2 linked regions of the Drosophila melanogaster genome follow. The protein of the gene in region 2 interacts with the protein of the main gene of each other region in a pairwise test. Each region holds a gene or a part of one and is shown on either strand. Other genes may lie near its edges.

Evidence for each region.
Region 1: the proteins of Sas-6 (region 2) and Cnb interact in a two-hybrid assay, tested with the Drosophila melanogaster proteins (one study listed by BioGRID).

Annotation. Positions count from the first base shown.
Region 1 is NT_037436.4:1,945,753-1,951,070, reverse strand, and holds Cnb (centrobin), read right to left. Parts: upstream 3,507-5,318; 5' UTR 3,286-3,506; intron 3,225-3,285; 5' UTR 3,212-3,224; coding exon 2,048-3,211; intron 1,990-2,047; coding exon 1,828-1,989; intron 1,766-1,827; coding exon 1,428-1,765; intron 1,364-1,427; coding exon 958-1,363; 3' UTR 809-957; downstream 1-808. Other genes in the region: mv (mauve), read left to right, coding at 1-310, 372-492; mu2 (mutator 2), read left to right, coding at 3,622-3,732, 3,791-3,991, 4,052-4,532, 4,587-5,318.
Region 2 is NT_033777.3:29,993,572-29,997,732, forward strand, and holds Sas-6 (spindle assembly abnormal 6), read left to right. Parts: upstream 1-1,785; 5' UTR 1,786-1,795; coding exon 1,796-1,969; intron 1,970-2,028; coding exon 2,029-2,880; intron 2,881-2,938; coding exon 2,939-3,272; intron 3,273-3,326; coding exon 3,327-3,385; 3' UTR 3,386-3,455; downstream 3,456-4,161. Other genes in the region: CG7903 (uncharacterized protein), read right to left, coding at 191-242, 302-517, 577-1,168, 1,222-1,507, 1,579-1,587; CG15525 (uncharacterized protein), read right to left, coding at 3,456-3,804, 3,867-4,003. UniProt on the Drosophila melanogaster protein: Central scaffolding component of the centrioles ensuring their 9-fold symmetry. Required for centrosome biogenesis and duplication. In ciliated neurons, required for centriole assembly but not necessary for cilium basal body and cilia function.

The sequences.
Region 1 (5,318 bases), on a different chromosome or scaffold from region 2:
CCAGACCTAATTCGCTGAACGTGGCCGACGAATGCTTTGAGGTAACGGAGGAGAACCTAGACGACTTCGTCAATGTGAATGTGAATCCCAATGGCAAGTCCATTTTGAGGCTGCACTCAGTGAACGCGCGGTATGTGCAGCACCTGGTGCACGAGGATCGTATCCTGGCCGTGTGCTACTCCTACATCAAGGAAGGAGTGGGTGTCAACGTGATAGCCACTGCTGTGGAGGGAGGATTCGTGCGCTTCTGGTCCAGCTGGAACCTGAGCTTCGTCAGTGAGCTGACCACGGGTACATCGCCCATTCGTAGGTAAGAGAGAAGTGGCTCCATATTCGAATAAAATACAATCTAATCCCTGCTTAACTTGCAGCATTTGCTACTCAACCCATCAGCATTTGGTGGTGCTAACGCGAGAGTCCCATATCCAAGTCTGGGAATCAGAGGGGCTCTATGGAAATGCCCCGAAATTCCCTCAAATCGTCTACAAATAATGTTAATGGGAAAATACTCAATAATTCAACTCAAAGCATATCAATGACAGACACATAAACGATCTAAGAAACAGCTGAATCAAAGAATAAATCCTTTTAAAAGATATAAAATACAACATTCGCTGGCGACAGCCACAAAATTAATATATCACAAGATTCCTAGGCTTAGGTCTCATAGAGCTGTAAAATACACCTTTTGTACCAAAACTTTATATTATTATTACATTTAAAATTTTCACCTTTGTTTTTCCCGTGCTGCATACAAATGCCACGCTGCCTTCAATTGTTGATATTATCAAATAAACAATCATATTTTGCAAAAACTAAACTATTTACTTTCAGAATTCCATAGAAAAATATACAACTACAATGTCCATTGTAGCGGCCATTCAAAGAGGCAGTCATTCTTAAAAAACTACAGGTATTACTAGATAGAATATTACTTGTCGAAAGCATCTCTCGTTGTCAGCACTTCCAAGGTGGAGGCTTACTGTTGCCACTTCCGCTCTTTGGTTTGCTTTGTTTGCTACCCTGTTTGGATGTCATGGCCAAGATCTCGTCGAGCCTGTCGAAATCACTGGGCGACTTGCTGAGCAGCAGTTCAATGTAGGCCTGCAGCTTGTCCATCGGCGAGGGGGGATCCCGTTTGCCCACCACATCCAGGTTATTCTTCTCAGTGTTGTTGCTGCGCTGCGATTTGCTCGATTTGGGCGTTTCTGGATACATGCGTGCATTATTTAGCTCCGGAGATTCACTGGCTTCAGTGTCACTGGATTGGATAATGGAGTTTTGACTAGGAGTGGTGAGGATAGCAAGGGCCTGCTGCCACTGGGCCTCCATTACCCCATGCAGTTTCTCCGCAATATCAGCACTGGAATGGAAAAAAAAACCATTTCTATTTAAACCAGAAAACAAATAAGGCTCTCATATCTTACCGCTTTGTTTTGTAACAGCTGAGCTTGAGATCCATTTCATCGATCTTCTTCGAGGCATTCGCTAGTTGAAGGCGGTACAGCTCCACCTCCTCGTTGTGCTTTTCCTGGATGAGATTCAATTCCTGGTTGTTTTTCTCATTGATCATTTCAAGCTGCTTTACTGCCCGCTCGGCTATGAGTCGTTCACGCTCCCGAGCTTCGTTCTTTAAATGCTCCTCATTCTTGTCCAGTTGGTCCTGGAACTCCTGCATCTTCTTGGCCACAACATTTTCCATTTGCTGTTGGTAGTATTGCTTTAGGGATTTCTGCTGTATATCTAGCTTCTTCTTGAGATTGGTCTGCAAAACAACAATCATTTATTATTGAGTTCTTTTTTTTTTTGTATTTATTTTTAAATAACCTCAGTTTCAGTTAGGTTCGCCAGAGTTTCTTGTAGGGATTTACGATGGCTCTCCAAGGAATCCGCTCTTGCTTTCTGCTTCTGATGATATTCTTGCAGCATTTCCTTTTGATTGGTCAGCGTGTTATTTTCCTTCTCCAGTTCCTCTATCCGCGCTTTTAGCTTATATATAAGAAATGTGGTTAAAGTGGCCGTGGTTGAAATCTTATTTTTAAATTACCTTTTCTTGTTGGTAGTCTACCTTGGCAAACTTATCCCTTAGCTTATTCAGCTCGGCATGTGACAGCTCCTCCGCTCTTTTGCTGCTGTTGAGTTGCATTTCCAGTTGCTCCAGTCTTTCTTCCCATTGCTTGGCGTCTTGCCTGCAATGGTCCAACTCCCTTTCGAGTTTATCATTCTTTTCCTGAAACCTGGTGGCCAAGTTGACCGCCTGCGACAACTCGTTCTGCAGTGCATCAAACCGGCTCTGGGATTCGCCCCTGTCCGCTTCCAGCCGGTGGACAGCGTCCCGCAGGTGCTGAACCTCGTAGTTGAGACTTTGAACTGTTTGCTCTGCCTCGGTGAGAGCAGCATCCTTCGAACGATCCACCTCGATGGCCACTGAGATTCGCTGCTGGTACTCCAAAAGATGCGACTGCAGTGTGTGCACCATTTTCTCCAGATGCTGCCTTCTGAGTTGTTCCTCTTTTAGGGAAGAGCTGCACAGTGGTCGGTTGGGCGAGTTGTTGTCGAGTACAGTTTTGGTCAAGCTGCTCTTGCCCCAGAGCTCGCTCAGACTTATGATCTTGTTCTCATTCAGGCTGCTTCGATCGACCCTGGCTGCTTCGACAGAAACGGCGCCGGAGGATGATGAGGCCAGCCTCATGCTGGGCAGAGACGAGGTTCCCGGATGACCCTCTTTCCCCGCCCGCTCGTTCCTCAGATGATCGTCGCTGCGGTGATGCAGGTGGTGATCGTGCCTCTGCCAACGGTGCGCATTATTGTCGTCTAGGTAGTGGTCGATTTCGAGCAGAATGTTGTCGTCCAGTGGTCGATGGCGGAGGGGCTCAACGGACCCACTCTTCGGCGTGGAGTGCACCATGCCGTGGAGCTCCCTACTTGGCCTTCCAGCGTTCCTTACAGTATTCGTGGATATGGTGGAAATGTCCGAGGGAGGCTCCTCCGCATCCAGTGCGATGTTCTGCAGCCGGGAATTGATGCTATTCAGCTCCGATTTCTTGCTGGGATGTAGGAACTGGTACGCTGCACTTGTGGTCGCCGGGGGAGGGGGCGGGGGCATGGCCAACGCATCTGCCGCCGCGCATGCGCTCATTTTGTCCTCCGCGCAGAAGTTCGGTGGTATCAGGAGCAGCAGATCGGTGTCGTCCGTATCGGTATCACTCATGCCTCATGGTTAACTGTATTAATAGTATGCTTATAGTACAATAATTGTTGTTTCAAAACAAAAGTGAAACTAACCACCGATTGCCATGGTGATGCACAGGGTTGCCAGGTGCACGTGGCAATGCAGGATTATCGAAAACAATGGACTATCGGTATATCACTATTCAGTGTGTCAAAACAAAAACTAAAGCTCGATATTCTAGTCTTCACAAGGCACTATATAATTTTAAAAATAATATACGTTGTTAGTCTTATTTTGCCTTTTGGCATATCTGTTGTAATTAACACTACCGTATATATCGCCTGTTTTTGGCGCCCATTTCAAGTGTGACCGTTCAGTGCGTTTGTTGTTTCCATTTATTGTCTTGTTTTTTTTTTTCGTCCTTCAGTTTTGAAGGAACTGCCGCCAGGATGGCAGATGTAAGCCTGTTTTTTGGCGGTTTGCCGGCCATTCTTCTGAAAGCGGATACCATTTACCGCATTGGGAGGCAGAAGGGCCTGGAAATAAGCATCGCCGATGAGGTAAATTGGCCCTTACTTAAACATTTCCCCTTTAATAACTCCTATCCTCAATGGGCAGTCAATGGAGCTGGCCCACGCCACAGCCTGCATACTGCGCCGAGGTGTGGTGCGCCTGGCTGCCCTGGTGGGCAAGATCTTTGTGAACGACCAGGAGGAGACCGTGGTGGACATCGGCATGGAGAACGCCGTGGCCGGCAAGGTGAAACTCCGCTTTGGCAATGTGGAGGCCAGGCTAGAGTTTGGAGAAGATCACGATGAGGTATGGGCACCAAATACCATTCTTACAGGATGCATAACTTAATGCTTACCCTTCGTTCAGGTCCACGACAGTAGCGGATTCGGGGAATGCCTGAAGAACGGATTAAACAACACAACCTTGGACAGCATGGATGTTCCGGAAACACAGCCTCCATCCGCCAACACATCAGTCAACACAACGGCAGATAGCTTATTTATACCCGAGACCCAAGCGGTGTTATGCGAAAGGCCTTCGACCGGACAAAGAGTGTCGCTGGGCGATGACTTCATGATACCCGAAACGCAGGATATGCTTGCGGATCTTCCACCTGAACCACCAGTGTTTAAACCCCCGGTTATTCCCGTAGTTGATAAGCCAGGTCCGACGATAGACAGCGATGAGGAATCATCTCAGGGCAGCATTATACGCATGTGCACCCAGGATTATAATGAGGATGCCATCGATGACTTCGATACCTCACAGGTACTCTGCGATGTTCTGCTGCCTCTTCCGCCGCCAACAGCACCAATTGAAGGTCTGGAAAATCAGGATACTAAGCGGGGTATGTGCATCCATTGAAACTGATAACTTTCAATAATGTGCGCTTTCTTCTTAGATCAACTGGACACCACCGACATGGAAATGAGTGCCTTGAACTGGTCGGCTAGCAATTCCAAATGCTGTGCTCTGAGTAGCACCAAAGCGGATGATATATTGCCGCGTGGCGATGCCTGCATTACTCCCGATTTGACCGCTCCGTCCGTAGATAGAAATATCTGCACACCCGATCTATTTGACCTGATCATGGGGGGGGATAGGAGGCGCGATGGCTCCAGCAGTCCAGATCCGTTCGTTCGTCCTGCGGACAATACAAATACCGCCACACCGCAGTTTGGCGGAGTTAAACAGCTGGTTGTGGCGACGATTGAGACCCCCACTGCCACTCCTGACACGAATAGTCAGGAAAAGAATCAAGATATGATAGCCACTCAACGATTTCCACGACATAAATTGTTGGAAAGTGACGAGGAAGACAATGGGCAAAACAACCAAGACTTCGTGGCTACTCAGGCGTTTAACTTAGGACGTCCGCAGGCACCACAAGAAAATGAAGCCAATCAAGATCTCATAGCGACACAGGCATTTAACTTGGCACCGCCACAAAAAGTTGATTCACCTAAACCCTCTACAGCTAATGATGCTTCCAACCAAGATTTTATAGAAACTCAGGCATTTAACTTAGGAATCCCACAAGCAAACATGGCTTCACCAGAAAATAATGAGATTTCCAACCAAGATTTGATAGCCACTCAAGCATTTCCCGCCAAGATCAATAGCTCTCGTTGCC
Region 2 (4,161 bases):
GACTACGAATAACAAATATACTGTTGATGTTGGTCTTAAAAGTACACGGCTATAGGACAAATTAAAAGTCGTCGTCGTTGGCTTAACTAAAAGATTCTGCGCGCGGAACAATGAAAAACAAAATTCGGCTATTACATTATTAAGTGGAGTACACGTGGACTGGCAAACATCGTTGCTGCATTGCACTTGCTTAAAATCTTCTATTGCCGCCCATATTTGGCCCGGGTCTGGGCCCGTTGAAGCTGGAAATGGCGATGATTGGGGTTAGTGGTTTTTATGCAGACGATATGAATGAACCTACCGGTTTCTTTGGCCTGGACCTCCGCCGCCACTGCCCAAGGGCGGGAACTCCGAGTGATATGCATTTATGCCATTCTGATTGTGATTTCTACCTCCTGAACCTCCGCGTTTGCTTGGGCCTCCTTGGGGACTGCTTGTCTCGTGACTGCTATCGCGTCTGTCATTGAATCCGCCTCCTCCTCCATTGAAAAATCCACGTCCTCCCGGTGGATTTCCTCTATATGGCAAAACAAGATATTATATATAATTTAGAACCCAATCTTATGCACAACTTACCCATTAGTCCCACGATTGCCAGAGTTCATTGGTCCATTGCCAAAGCGTCCGAAGCCCATTTGCTGCTGCTGATGCTCTACAGGCAGGGCAAATCCACGTCGATCCTGTCGCACATGGCTTGGACCTGGGCCGCCGCCGCCGGCCCTCTGATTTACGGATCCTCCTCCCCCGCTGCTGGAGCTGCCTCCCTGAAAGTCACTATTATTGCCTCCTCCCCTATATCCGCTGGTTGGACTGTTCTTAAAGTTTCTTCTGCCAGGCTGTGGTCCACTGTTGTCCCGCTGCTGAAACCGATTGCTGCCGAAGCGTCCCTCGTTGCCCGCGCTTCCACCGAACTTGCCTCCGCCTGCAAATTTGTTCCTAAAGCCCTGTCCCTGATTGGAAGACTCATTGTTCGGTGGTCCTTTCGAGTATGGAGCACTGCGCTGTTGTCTGTAGTTGGACTCGTTTCTCACGGGACCAAATTTGGCGGCCGAGGAGTTCGAGCTCCTTGGGCCTTCGTTGGAGAATCTGCCACCGACTTCCTCACGAAAGTTGCGCTTGAAGTTGGTATTGGATTCATGAGGTCTCTTGTCCGCCCCGCCACCTTGAACTGAGGATGATGAAATACTTAGATGCTGGATCTTTGGAGTGATCAAAGCTTACCCTGCGAGGGCCTGCGCCCCGGATTGTCCCCAGAGCCCGGCTGACCTCGACTGCCACCTCCCGGGCCGTACTTTGGCCTGCCCGCCTCCACCACAATGGGCTGGCCCTTGAAGATGGTGCCATTCAGCGCTGCGATGGCCGCCTCCGCCATGTCCGTGTTCTCCAGATGGACGAAGGCGCAGCGATTCATCACGTCGCACTCAACGACCGATCCATAGTTGGTGAACAGTCGACGCAGCTCCTCCGGCTTGCAGCGCGGCAGGCTGCCGACGAACACCTTGGCGGTCTGCAGGATAAAGCTAGCATTACTCCGGATTACTATGGACAATCCGGCGGCGCTGCCTCTTTCTTACGTACAGTATTCATGTATTTATTTTTCTCTACAACTTTTCGCTGTTTTTTTCTTTTATTGAAATGGAGATGGACAACTGTGCACCTGACCGGCAGTGTGACCAGCGATGGCTACTTCCACGGCCATATCGGTAGCTATCGACATCGATAGACCCAAGCCATCACTTTTGTTTACCAATTTTAAAATTTTAAAAATTAAGGTTTCTCACGAGCCTGATCTATCATGTGGCCTCCAGGGAGCGAGGATAGCTACTCCGCCAAAATGGACTATGGCAAGAGCGTGGTGAACATCCTGCCCAGCGTAGAGATGCTGGTGAACTTTAATGGCGAAATGACGCGGTCTAGCAAACGGTCATGTCTACTGTACGCGGAGAGAGTGGACTTCAAGGAGCTGCTGGTAAATATGCTTGTCAAGACCTCCTCCGATCAAATTTCAATACATCCTCTGCCCCACAGCAACTCCGATTAACGGAGAAGTCCGATCAACGGCGCATGTACATCACCACAGTGGACAGCGCCTCCTTTCAGGATCTTAAACAGGATCAGTCGCTGAATGTGTCATTCTCTGGGTTCATTGACAATGTAGTGCGCATGCTGAAGGACTGCCAGTCGGGTAAACTGGAGCTGCACCTGACCACACGGGATCAGAACCTTTCATCCGGCAGGGAGGTCCACGACTATTATCTTCAGTTTGTTGAAATTCGGTCCTTTAAGAACCTAGTTCACCTTAGCCTGCCTTGTCGTTCTGCTCCCTTGAACACCGTACTCTTCTACATAAACAGCATGCTGGAAGCCTCCCACAAAAAGCAATATATTCTCGAGCAAAGTATGCAGCAAATGCAGGCTGAAATCAACGCACAACGCGCGCATGCGGAAAGGTTGACCACGGAAAACACAAATATCAGGGAAGCTTTGGCCGAAAATACTCGCATCTTAGAGGAAAAGCATGCTGCCGAGGTCCATCAATACCAGGAAAAACTGTCCAAAATAAACGAGCAGCGCAGCAATGAGCTGGAGAGAAATCGTAGAGCGATCTCCGGCTTTCAGGCCCAATTGGACAAGGCTTCGTTGGAGAAAGCAGAACTAAAGTCGGCCCAAGAGCAGGCCGAGAAACGATGTCAAACCCTGTCCGAGGAGTTGTCCTGTTGCAAAGCCAGAGTGTGCACCCTAAAAGAGCAAAATGACAAACTGCACGGGGATGTGGCCAATATCAGGAAGCATGAACGCAAGTTGGAGTACAAAATCGAGGACCTCAAGCAGCACACTGTCGAGCTGCAGGAACATATTCAAAAGGGAAACAAAGAGAAGGTATGTGTATAAAAAGAATAATGCACATCAGAAGAGTATATCCCTTTTAATTTTGCAGGCCAACATAGCCGCTGAACTGGAGGCCGAGAAGAAGATCCTGCACACCAAGCGCCAGGCTTTGGAAATGGCCTCCGAGGAGATCTCCAAGGCCAACCAGATAATCGTTAAACAAAGCCAGGAGCTGCTCAACCTCAAAAAGACCATTGCCTGGCGCACAGAGGTGGCTCTGCAGCAAGAGAAGGCGGTTCAGGCCAAGGAGAGCCTACTATCCCTGCGGGAGAATGAGCTGCGCGAGGCTCGAATAACTATTGAAAAACTGAGGGAGGAAATCCCCCAGCAACTGCAATCCATGCGTAACTTTGCCCAGGGACTGGAGCAGAAGTATTCCAAACGTAAGCTGAGACCCCAATCTTTAAGTGTACCTACTTACAACTTGCTCTTTTCAGAAATCCTCATTCTAAAAGAACGGCTTGCAATACCCACGGGCAAAGAAAATCGGCGATAGTTTTACTTATTGTTAATGCATTTTTTCGTTTTTTGTACCAGTTTAGTAAAGTTAGTTGTATTATTCAGCTCTAGTCATAATCCTCCTGAACACTTTCACCTGCATGAGCCGTGGCCACATTCACCGCTTGGCTGATATCCTCCATTTGGTTCAGTTTCAGTCGCTCACGGATGAGTTCAGCAATAGCTTTCTGGGTACGTCGTTCCAGTCGCTCCAACTTTTTGCTGGCATCCCGCTTCAGATCCCAGTCGGGTTTTCGGGGAGCCAGGTTGGTTATGTCAATCTCATCTATCACCATGGGCTGCTGGAGCAGACTCAATTGATCCTCCACAGCTGATTCTATGTTGCCCGTGGGTTCCTGTGCTAGAATCTCGCCATCGGTGGTCTCATTCTGGGGCTTGTAGCTGCGGAAAACTGGTCTGCAAAGATATATGAAACTGGTTTATAGGGATTCATAATAGCATTTCATTGTATTGCTGACTTGGGTAACTTTTCAATGGACTCGGCAGCGTCTCCTCCTTTGTTTTGCACTTGTTCCCGGAGTTTTTGCAGACGCTCCTTGCGTTTTAGAGATTCTTGTGTCAGCTTGCCGACGCCATTGTTGTCCATCATGCCCATGTGAAGTTTGTTCTCAAGATAATACAATTAATTTAAATTTGAGTCTGGGGTCTTTACGTTTATTTATTATTGTTATGTTTCTTGTTCTTCCCATACATATATCGTATATCGATTACAATCGCGTTCGTTACCAGCTTGGAATTATGCAGGTATGAACT